Xenopus tropicalis: one gene and its partners. The protein of the gene in region 1 interacts with the protein of each later gene in a pairwise test. Links are inferred from orthologs where the notes say so. Each region holds a gene or a part of one and is shown on either strand. Other genes may lie near its edges. The genes, in order: fars2, rcbtb2 and agtrap.

What was found.
Region 2: the proteins of fars2 (region 1) and rcbtb2 interact in binary tests that used the Homo sapiens proteins (3 or more experiments, as listed by UniProt). The two-hybrid records come from large-scale screens. The link is inferred for Xenopus tropicalis from reciprocal best matches to the Homo sapiens genes FARS2 and RCBTB2.
Region 3: the proteins of fars2 (region 1) and agtrap interact in binary tests that used the Homo sapiens proteins (3 or more experiments, as listed by UniProt). The two-hybrid records come from large-scale screens. The link is inferred for Xenopus tropicalis from reciprocal best matches to the Homo sapiens genes FARS2 and AGTRAP.

What each region holds. Positions count from the first base shown.
Region 1 is NC_030682.2:88,246,865-88,251,112, reverse strand, and holds the start of fars2 (phenylalanine--tRNA ligase, mitochondrial), read right to left. Parts: upstream 2,851-4,248; 5' UTR 2,743-2,850; intron 994-2,742; 5' UTR 987-993; coding exon 905-986; intron 1-904. UniProt on the Homo sapiens protein: Is responsible for the charging of tRNA(Phe) with phenylalanine in mitochondrial translation.
Region 2 is NC_030678.2:135,041,800-135,045,452, reverse strand, and holds part of rcbtb2 (RCC1 and BTB domain-containing protein 2), read left to right. Parts: intron 1-629; coding exon 630-820; intron 821-2,608; coding exon 2,609-2,735; intron 2,736-3,653.
Region 3 is NC_030683.2:65,681,383-65,685,632, reverse strand, and holds the start of agtrap (type-1 angiotensin II receptor-associated protein-like), read right to left. Parts: upstream 2,879-4,250; 5' UTR 2,841-2,878; coding exon 2,814-2,840; intron 1-2,813. UniProt on the Homo sapiens protein: Appears to be a negative regulator of type-1 angiotensin II receptor-mediated signaling by regulating receptor internalization as well as mechanism of receptor desensitization such as phosphorylation.

The DNA of each region.
Region 1 (4,248 bases):
ACACGCAGCTCTTTGCTGTCTCCTCTCTCCTGCTCCCCCCTCCCTCAAGAATGCTAAGAACTCACTCCCCCCCTTAGGAATGTGGATCTGAGCCAATCAGCAGGAAGCTAACTCATAGTTCCGAGCATATTTTCAGCTTTTTCGTACGTCCGTGCGACTTTTCTGTACACTTGCACGAAAAATTCAGAAAGCTTCTGCCGCTGTTTACAATCATTCGGTACGAAAATTTTGTGACTTTCGGATCACCAATACGATATTATCGTGACTAATATGATTTTTTCGTAACCATTTTCGTGATAGTTGTGATCTTCAGCAATTCAATTGAAGGTATGCCTGCAGCTTGAGATTAACTCTTTATTAGCCTTTCCTTCTTTCTTAAGAGTTTAGAGAGTCTGTGCCCACTCGCTTACTTAGTTGCCCCCTTTACTTAAACCTGTAAAGGGAAAATTAAACTAAACCTAAATCTCAAACCAATCAATCTCACTTAATAAAAGTCATTTCTGATGAACTATTTGAAAACAGCTAAACTAAAATGGAGATGAAAAAATATCTAGAACGTTAATAGTAAGCTGTAGTAGTAATATGGCCTAAAGGCTACTTGTGCCACAATAAATGCTTTGAAGCAGCAGAAAGAAGTCAATGCCAGTAAAAAGCTACAATAACATTTCTTCTTCACTCAGTTGTAACAAAAAAAACACACAACAAATGCACACAAACCTTAAATGTATGTTCATGTTTTCTCCAATGCATTCCTTCCTATTTTGTAAGATATGACGTACAGAGTGAACCTAAATATGTTCAATATAGATCATATGCTAGGTAGTGTTGTCAAGTGTAGAGAATAATAAAGGACAACTATAAGCTCAAACATACAGAAAATGTATATATTGATATACTTTCTTACCTAAGCTTACTCCACCAATTCCTGAATTACAAGACCATAAATGCTTCCTGAGTCCTGACAGAATATATTTTCTTACATCCATTTGGAATCTGCAGAAAAATAAATGCTATTGGAGTTGCTACACTAAATAAACATAAAGTCAATAAATTATGTTGTTGTATGATAACTATAGAACTGTTAAAGTTATATCTTTCAGCTTCTGGTCATGTTCTCAATTAAAAAATACACAGGCAGGTATCAGTTCATCACTACTAAGTATGCACTGATTTTGCCAAATTCCAGCCATTTTTTCAGGATCTAATTCACCTGAACATGCATTTACATATGCAAATTAGGGTTCTGATTAGTTCAGAATTCAGTCAAATCTGTAGTGATGGATTCAGTATTTGGCCTTATCCTGAAATTATGCATTTGGTGCATCCCTAATACAGGTCTCGGACCCCTTATCCGAAAACCCATTATCCAGAAAGTTCCGAATTACGGAAAGACTCCATTTTAATCAAATAAGTTGCATTTTTTTAAAATGATTTCCTTTTTCTCTGCAATAATAAAACAGTACCTTATACTTGATCCCAACTAAGATAGAATTAATCCTCATTGGAGCCAAAACAATCCTATTGTGTTTAATTACTGTAATTATTGAAAACCCCAGGTCCCGAACATTCTGGATAACAGGTCCCATACCTGTAATTAGCTGCAAAAATATCTGCTAAATTTGTTTTAATAAAGAGGCAAAGAATGCAGACTTGGCATGCTTGACTCACCTAAAACATTGTTGTATATTAATGTGTTGCAGAGCCAAAGCTGGAAGTTTTTGTGCAATGGTTTTCTACAATTATTACTCTAAGGGGCTGATTTACTAATCCACGAATCCGAATGGGAAAAATTCGGATTGGAAAACGGACATTTTGCGACTTTTTCGTATTTTTTGCGACTTTTTTGTAGCCGTTACGACTTGCGCGAATTGTCGCGACTTTTTCATAGCCAGTATGACTTTCGCGAATTGTCGCAACTTTTTCATAGCTATTATGACTTTTGTGAATTGTCGCGACTTTTTCATTGCCATTACAAATTTCGTGAATTGTCGCGACTTTCGTATTGAGCACTCAAAAAAGTAGCAAAATACCGATCATTATGAAAAAAACGCATTCGGACGCTTTTCGGACGTTCGTGGATTAGTAAATGTGCCCCTAAATGTATATGGCAATATGGGTAGCGCATAAATATGGCGCCAACATAATCTCTCAATTAGGAACCTATATACTTGTTTTTAGTTCTTACAACACAATATCACACAAAAACTGTAAATGCTGCTTAGTTACTAAATGCATTAATAGCAGCACACAGAGCCACTCTAAATCATACATGTGTCAATATAATTTTAAATGCATGTGTGCAGGTATGGTGAGTGAGTCTTCTTGTGGGAGTGTTTCTTCCTTACTTATGGACTGTCTGTATTTTTAAAGAATACAGATTGGTTGCAAGTACATTTTTAATAAATGTATAACTGTTAAGTGTGTGAGTGTACACAATTCTCCCAACAACTGCAGAGCCAAATGTTGCCAATAGTGGGTACTGGGAGTATGATATATTAAAGAATAATAAAGAATAATGAAGAACAGATTTCCTATACACTTTGAACTGCCTATTTAAAACATTTATAGTTTAAAGATGGGGGTATTGACGTTATTTGCCAGTTTAATACAGGTTGTAATATAAAGCATGTATTAAAACAGCTAATATAATTAGATCTACTACGTAGCCTACATATATATTTATACAATAAATGGTTATTACTACATAGCTTAACATATAGTTCTAAAGGTGCAGACACTCACACGACCTAAGCAGCAGGTAATCTATGTGACAATGTGAAGGTCTCTTCCCTTTTCTCCCTCCTTTGGCACTTTCAGCAGATCCTATCACACGAGCCCATGACGTCACAGCTACGGGAGGGGACCTGGGACAAACATGTCAGCGGCGTAAATTTACTCTAACATCCCTGAAACGTGTTAAAAGAAAGCCCTATTGGTCCAACGCTCGCAGCTGCGACGACATTCTCATTTTCCATAGATCGCCGATTTAGGTATCTTTAATATTTAAAAGTTTAGCACTGATATTACAAAGACATATGACTGTTACGATAAGAGGAACAACTTGCCGTAGGCGCTTTTTAGGCAAATAGCATTTTTACAGAAAATACCACAAAAGTTCCAACCGAAAGCAAAACGCGGCACGAACACGTTTGTCCCAGATCCCCTCCTGTAGTCGTGACGTCATGCGTTCTTGCGCTAGAAGCTGCTGAAAGTAGGCAAGAAGTGAAAGAAGGGAAGAGACTTTCACGCTGGTTCACCTATCAACTGTATAGGGAGTGTGAGTGTCTGCATCTTCCTAAGGCTCTATTTACTTATTGCACCCCAGCGCTATTTGTAATAGTGCAATATTCAGCATTTATTATTAGCCTGTGTCAGGATTAATTCGCACTGCACGCTTAAGCCTCAGTGTTGTATGTTAACTCCGTATTAAACTGACATGGAGTTTAAGCTGTAAGAAAATTCAGTTACAGAGCTGTCACGATTTGTCATGTAAAACCATAATATTCCCTATACTCAGGGACTGGCATTGTGAAATATCTACTCAGCAACTGGCACTGTGAGATAACTACAACTCATGTCATACATTTACCTCTTTTCAAAAGGAAAAAAAATAAATTTGTGAAAAGAGAAAATATGTTTCTCTTGTACTGCAGTTTAAATGTTAATATTCACATTTAAACTGCAGTCAAAAAAATGTGGCTTTCCTATCCATTAAGTACTCTATTAACATCTCTCTGGCCCTGTGAATAGTTTTGAAGAGTGTTTCTGAGACAATTAGCATTTGGTCTTCATTGTTTTATTTTTTGTGGTTATTTAGGTTTTCGTTCGACAGCTCTCCAGTTTGGTATTTCAGCAGCTATCTAGTTGCTTGGGTCGTTTTTAACCTAGCAACCAGTCAGTTATTTGAATGAGAGACTGGGAAATAAAAAGGACTAAATAGAAAGATAAGTAATAAAAAGTAACAATAACAAAATTGTGGCCTCAGAAAGCAATAGATTTTTGTGTGGCAGTTTCAGTGGACCCCATCTAAAAGCTGAAAAGAAGCAGAAAAGGAAGGCAAATAATTAATAAACTGTAATATATAATGAAGACCAAATGCAAAGTTGCTAGGAATAGAAAGGAACAGTAACACCAAAAAATGAAAATGTATCAAAGTAATTAACGTATGAAGGTACTGTTACTCTGCACTAGAAAAAGTTGCGTGTTTGCTTTTAGCAACACTACTGTAATTTAAAAATACTCTGCTGT
Region 2 (3,653 bases), on another chromosome or scaffold:
TGGGAGCTGTCATAGGCAAATTGTAACAACATTTAATTCATGGTTGTAGAGTTTTTCTTTCATTTGAAAGTCTACACATATTTTTGGACAATGTAAATATCACAACATTTTAATTTGTTTGTGCCTTTTCAATTCGGATGTTTTAATAAATGACTAGACATTTGTGGTTTTCGTGGAAATTAGTTTATTTGTACTTTTAAAAAAAAACCTGTAAAACCGCTAAAATATGTGTGCAGCATCAAAAAAAATGCCATGCCATTTGGGGGGCATGCCCTTTCATCAGAATGTATTTATTTTGAAATATATCAGAATATAATATATTTTTAAACTGTTAGGCTGGATAATGATTTTATTTAGCAAGAAGCTAACACTGGCATTATGATTACTGTTCCTAAGTATCCGATATCAAGACTCTCCTTATTTTTAAGCTCCAGGGAAGAGGACAAATGCTGAAACAAATGTATTCATTCAAAGTATTGGAGCTTTATCGGTTTACATCAGTAAAAATGTATTCAATGTTCTTGACTAAAATCTTTGCAGAATATAAATGTAGATTATCTTGTAAATATCTTGGTACAAAGAGTAATAGCTTTTTTCTATTTATATTTCTCTATTGGTACTGTGAGCAGAATAGTAGAGATTGCAGCCTGTCACTCTTCGCACACTTCTGCTGCTAAGTCCCAGAGCGGTCAAGTTTACATGTGGGGCCAGTGCCGGGGCCAGTCTGTCATTACTCCACATCTCACTCACTTCTCCTGCACAGACGATGTGTTTGCCTGCTTCTCAACTCCAGCTATAATGTGGCGCCTTCTGTCTGTAGGTAAGAATTTGGGAACACTTAGGCAGTTTTACTTATATCTCATAATATCTGCAAAATGTATCCTTAATTTTCAAGAACAGACACCTAGATTCACTTTCTCTGTGTTGTCGAGACCCCATGCACTGTAAATTTAAAGATGGAGTATATAGCTGGGAAGCAACCAACTGCAGTAGAGTGTGGCGCTCACTTCCCACCTCTATTTTTCCTAATGCAATGAAAAAGATGTAGCAGCAGAGGCAACATATTTCTAATTTTTCTGCTCTCAAAGTCGTTTAATTACTGACAAGACTTACTACAGGTATGGGATCCCTTATCCAGAAAGTTCTGAATTACAGAAAGGCCATCTCCCATAGACTCCATTATAAGAAAATAATTCTAATTTTTAAAAATTGTTTCCTTTTTCTCTGTAATAATAAAACAGTACCTTGTACTTGATCTCAACTAAGATATAATTCATCCTTATTGGAGGCAAAACAATCCTATTGGGTTTAAATGATTTTTTAGTAGACCCATATGGAGATTCAAATTACGGAAAGATCCCATATCCGGAAAGCCCTGGGTCCCGAGCATTCTGGATAACTGGTCCTATACCTGTAGTAGGTATACATCTCTACATACATGCTATAAAAAATAATAAAAAAAAAAAATGATGGTACATAATAAAGGGAAATACTGTGACATTTTGCATTTTTTCATCTTCCAGCAGGACAGTAATACCAAACACAAGTCCAAGGTTGCAATGGCTTAAGAATTATTATAAGGGCCCATGTACTACAGCAGTGTGGTTTTTTTTGGTGGGGGGGGGGTGTTTATTTTGCTTCCTACGTTTATTCCTGGTTCACTAAAGTGTTTATTTTTAAATTAAATCTCCTTATGACTATTTACATTTTTTTAAAAAAAAATTTTTAGTGTAGTGCAAATTCTGTCTGATATCCCTAAAGAGTTCAGTGCCTTGTAGTTTTTCCCGATGCAGAGGAAGTAGGGTATTATGTGTTTCAGTGAGATGCCACTGAAACCTCTCATCCTGCTGGGAAATCCAGTATCCCCTTGGACTGAGGGATTTGCAAAACACAGGAAGCCTGTAGGGTTTGATAAACTTTTGGTACAAACAGTATTTTTTGCAATTGGAGCTGAGTTGCAGAGGGAAACACTTGTGGAATTGATATTTAAGGTATGAATTTGTATATTACAACTCTAGCAAACGCATTTCTAAACAAATCTGCTATTTAAATATAACTGACTGTGTTAACATTCCGCCCCCCCCCCCCCTTTGTTGTCAATAACATAACTCTCTAGTAGGATCTTTACCTCTCTGTTTTGCATGTCTCTCCTGTGCTCAGTAGAGGGCATAAAAGTACCACTTTTTGTAACTCTGAATTCATAGAGAATATTTTGGTTAACGTAAAATATGTTAAAATTATGAGTGGCAGCTTGGAAAATAAGCTGTGCAATTCCACCTATTTATTTTATTTTGGCAAATTATACCTCTAACATTAAGACACAATGTTTAATAAAGAAAAACATTTGCAAACTGTATAAGTAGCCTCTTTTAGATAGACCTAATAATTGTGAAGTGATTATTTTATTTGGGAGAAATGGTGGTTAGAGGACTTGGTTCCTGTTGTAATTCTTGTTTGAGATCCTTGTGGCCTTGGGGAAATGAATTTATGTCCTGCTGCCTTGGGTGCTAAAGAGCAAAAATGCTAAATATCTGTAAAGTGCCATGCAACCCCTATGTTATCTGTTCCTTTATATTTACATTCTGTTTTGCATTTTGGTTTCTTTCAGAGCCAGATGATCACCTTACTGTTGCAGAATCTCTAAAGAGAGAATTTGACAACCCTAACACAGCAGACCTGAAGTTCTTAGTCGATGAAAAGTACATATACGTGCATAAAGTTCTTCTCCAGATCAGGTAAAGCAGAGACAGCATCAGTGTCGAGCATGTTTGGATTTTTTTTTCCACTGTTATTTTTAGAGACAACCATCTTTGAGTGGCAGTACATAGCACAGAATACCCCAGAATAGATTCTTTATATTGACTATAGAAATGTATTTTGATTTGTACCGATTAAAGCTTATCTGTGTGAGCTGTCTGATCCAGATGGTCCTGTTTTCCAGTGTGCATAATCTAACATCTGATCATCATGAACTTTCAGTGTGCACTAATTCTATTGGTGCCCCGTGTGCACAACCAGAACAGGAAACACAGCAAAACTCCAGATGTTGTTGCACTAAAACTCCCAGCAACTTATTTTCAGTTGTGGGGATGGTGGGGGTTTTAGATGAATATCAAGCAGGTTGCCTGTGTCTGATTTAAAGACCATCTAAAAATAAAGCATATTTTAGCATATGGTTTAATGAACACAAGTATTTGAAAGTGTCTGCAGAATATGTTTAAAACTGACTTGATATGTGTCGGAATATTTGCATAGCAGTGTCTGAATGTGCAGTTCAAAAACATGAGTATATTAGAAGTAGTGCTGAATTTCCCATTCACACACTGTTAGAAAGACCTGATGAGTTCAAGTTGTATGCATTCTGAAAAGATTTTTCTTATGTGTTCCAACTGACATGCATGCTGAATTTTCAAATGTGTGAATATGTATTCCTTAAATCTGTTGCACTGAGACAGCAATATCAAGTTTAAATGAAATAATTTATGAATGTAAACTATAGTCTAAGTAACCACAAATTGTAATGCCTGCCAACTGCAACCTTCATGTGTTCCCTTTAAAATGCGTTTGGGCCTATTTCTTATTAGTGAAAGTGCACCAAATTCAGTCGGCTAATAGGGCCAGTGATACAATACCTGCCTGCATAGATGTGTTAG
Region 3 (4,250 bases), on another chromosome or scaffold:
AATTTATGATGCTAATTGTGCTGGTCTCAGAGCTGCCATGTAATGTGAATTAATTACTAATCAGCCTTGTATTGTGAATGCTATATATACAGTATTGTGAGTAAAACCCTACACTCAGGGAAGTGACAGCAGCACACAGCATGTGTTGTAATTTAGCAGAAAAGAAGATGGAGAGCTACTGAGGGCATCTTCAGAGGAACAGATCTTCACTGCTAAAGGGCTGTGGTTGCCGTAGCATGGTACATAATAATACAAAACTTAATGTGCAGCATTTCTACCCTACTTCTTTGTTAAGTTTTAGTTCTCCTTCAAGAAATGGGATAGACTTGAATACTGGACTAAATTTATTTTCATTTTTTACTGTAGTAAGAAACATGCTTTGTGCGGTTTTAAATTACTAAGCTTAGGGACCGACACACAATATACTGTATGTATAGAGTATAAATGTCACAATATAAAGCTGATTAGTAATTAATACAGATAATTACTACATAGCAGCTCAGGAACCAGTGTAGTTTGTATCAAAACTTAATAATCAGCCCTGTAGCCCCAGGCCAACTTTATTATTTGCTTGATAATTTGCAACAACCTCTAGGCTTAGCTTCTCAACAGCTGTTTAGAGCACACTGAGCATGTGAGTGTCACAGACACTTTTTAAGATGGATCAAATTCAAGTCCTGCATCAACTTCATGTTTTTAATGTGAATAAGGACTTCTTTTAAACGATACTTGCCCAGCTGATGCAGAAAAAAAGGTGTTTTGAAAGCATTTTACCTCCTAAAACTGTCATTATATGAGAGCTGCAGAGACAACCTCTCAAGTCAGAAGCCAGAGTGAAATGAAGGTGGGAGTGTCGCTTCAGTCTCCCACAGGAAGTGTTCACAGCACTGACAGACAGGCTTTACTCAACAGTAGCAGGGAAAACCCATCCCAGTTTTCTCCTTCTGTGTCTCTCTGCTCCCTGGCTGCATAGTTTTGCTTGTGCTGCTGCCAGATCAGTAAGCTAGTTATTGATCAATAAGCATAGTTGTAAAATGTAAAAAAGTATAATAGTAAAATGTTCCTTTGTTAGTGGAATGGTATTTTTCAAAGCAAATGTGCACGATTCACAAATGAACGTGCCCAAGTGGACCTAACAATCTATAGTCCATAAAACATTGTTACACACTATGCAACTCCCTGCATCTATTATTAAATTATAAAAGATATACAAACAGTGCACATTAGTGTGTACTGTTATAGAAAAAAAAAGCAGTCTTTGTTTTTCTGCACATTGATACATGAGTACAGGGAGTTGCAGGTAAAACAAATCTGCAGTTGTTCTGGAACAGTATATGACCAGGTGCAGGGAGTTGCAGGTAAAACAAAGCTGCAGTTGTTGTTCTGGAACAGTATATGACCAGGTGCAGGTAAAACAAAGCTGCAGTTGTTGTTCTGGAACAGTATATGACCAGGTGCAGGGAGTTGCAGGGAATACATAGCTGCAGCTGTTGTTCTGCAACAGTATATGATCAGGTGCAGGGAATACAAAGCTGCAGCTGTTCTGGAACAGTATATGAACAGATGCAGGAAGTTGCAGAGAAAAAAGGTCACAGCTGTTATTCTGGAAATGCTTTTTTATTGCATGGACCTTCTACAAATTGTAAATTACCCCCACAAAATATTAAATGTTTTTAGTAGATTGTTTTTTTTTTCAATCATATTTGTTGTTGTTTTACCTTTTTCAGTTAACAGCAAGGCACAGAGTGAGAGGAACAATCAAAGCTGATTGGAGGAAGGTGAAGAACGATCTGAGAGACAGATGGAAACTATCAGGGTGGGTGGGACTGATCTGAGCATAGAGAGGGAGGCAGAGGGAACTGATCACTGGATCATAAGCGCTGTTGAGATGCTGAAACTTTAGACTGGTGCAGTAAGTCGAGTATATAAAATATGGCATGTTTAGCTTCCTCCGGGACCCCCCCTCCCCACCACACGTGCAAAGCACAAAAACCCAATGCAGGTGGGGAGCACCGAGAAATCCACTGTTGGGGTAAGAGATCCTGGACTAAGAGTAGGCGATAGAGGTACCTGCCTATTGCCCCCCAGGCAAGTGCCTCTTCTGCCTGTCCCTAATGGGACTTATTTTTGGGGTCCTGACCTTTGTGAAAATGTTCATGTTATCAGAATATTACCAACTGAATGTTTAAACAGCATACCTGACATCTGCAACAAGAACAGTATTAGAATGATAAAAAGTTTTTCTTTATACCAGCAACTGTACAATGTGGATCATTAGTGTAGTACATTATGTCATGAAGGAAATTTAACACATCAACAAAAAAAGGTTAAAGTCAATGGCCGTCGCTTTTCTAAACCTAAAGTAAAAGACTGGGCTGCAAAGTTTTATTTCAATACATACAATGGCTTTAGCTCTGCTAATTGCACAATAGCAATAAAGTGCCGAATTCCGGGAAAGTACGCAGCTTCCCTATTCACTGGGTATACACAACAGATAATGGCAATATGTATATAAAGCAATATGCTGAGAGCAGCCCCTTGGCACTACAGTATCTGCCTTTAGCCCCCACCTAGCGAAGCGTAAGGAAAATAGAGCAATACAATATTGTAAATGAGGATCGGATATGTTAGTTGGCAGTTACGGAGCAGTCATATTATACAAAGTAGGGTGCTGTAGTTCAACTGAACCTCATCCCATAGCGGAACCTCACGTTACCTCACATCTCCCCTTCCAGAAACACTTTAGAATAGTTTTTATAACGTTCCCACGCCCCCACTAATAAGTAGACAATTACTCTCTAAAGCTTCAATACCTTTAAGTTAACAGCCGGTAACTCCATATCCGTGACTCCTTTTGCCTTCCCTAAACTTCAGAAATTGCCTGCCCGACTGTACGCGCATCACGTGATGCCTCTTCCTAGCGGCTTTGCTCAACTAAGTCAGCGGGGTCACATGGGATTGTGAGCTGTCATGTGATATTGCAGCAATTGTTGGTTACACCGGTTTCATAATTGTGTTCTAGTTGAATAAATTGCCGGAGATATATATTTTTTGGCCACACATAAGCACGCGTGAAATTGAAACTCCATCCCCATGCGTGAAGTTAATATGAAAAAATGGTACCAAGTTCTTGGCTTTATTAAGGGTCTAAGAATCACAGTTCCTGTTTCCTACATGTACCTGACTTCAAGCAGAGTGGTGGTATAGGGTGTAATGTAAAACTCCTCAGTAGGGTAACCAGATCACTTGAGGGACGTGTCTAAAAAATCCAGGTAACAGGCTAACCTGATTGCAGTTTAGTTTAAATGCGAACAGTAATGTCCTGCAACGTGTATTTATTATATGTCCCTGAATATACAAGTGATCTGCTCAGAGGGTTTAATGCAATCCCTTCATAGCATTGGTGCCATGTTGTACAAACTGGCTGTGCTTCACATTGTTTGGGTGTGTGACAATCGTTTCAGTCATTAGGATTGCAACCTGGAAACTTTTTACTCCACCACCACACTAGAAAACTGGGCTGCTAGGATGGGTTTATTTCAAGAGACATATATCAAAATTATGAATGTACCAGTGAATTATACTCCTTTTAAATATATAAGGATTGTGCTTAAAAAAAGTTAGTGTTTCGGACTGACTTATTGAGAAATTCCGCCAAAACCCCACTAGTCCTGCCTGCTTGTTCCACTTCCTGCTGGCTGAATTCATACCTCCCAACATCTGAAAAATAAAAAGAGGGACAAAAAGATTTGGTGCGCGCAGCGTGGCAATTTTTGACCACGCCCACTTTTGTGGCCACGCCCCATTAAAAAATACTCCTTTAATATAGTTGAAATGGCGGGATCAGACGCAAATGTGCTATACCCTCATACTGTACTACCTAAGGAAAACAATATAGCAACTCCTACATATAAAATACAAATAAAGAGAGGAGGCAGTCAGTTATAAGTGAGTTATAACTATGTACCAGTTTTACCCCCCATACACAATGCCCCCAATGGCCCAATAGACAGTACCCCAATTGCCCCCATAGAAAGTACCCCCCCATACACAATTCCCCCATAGACTGTACCCCCCATACACAATGCCCCCATAGTAAGTGCTCCCATACACAGTAGCCCCCATAGGCACTCCAGCTTATTCTGCTGCTCTGCTCCTTATATGGCAGCGACAGGCCCTTTTATAAGGTTGCGCAACCTTATAAGGGACGCAACCTTATAAAAGGGCCTGTCGCCGCCGTACAAGGAGCG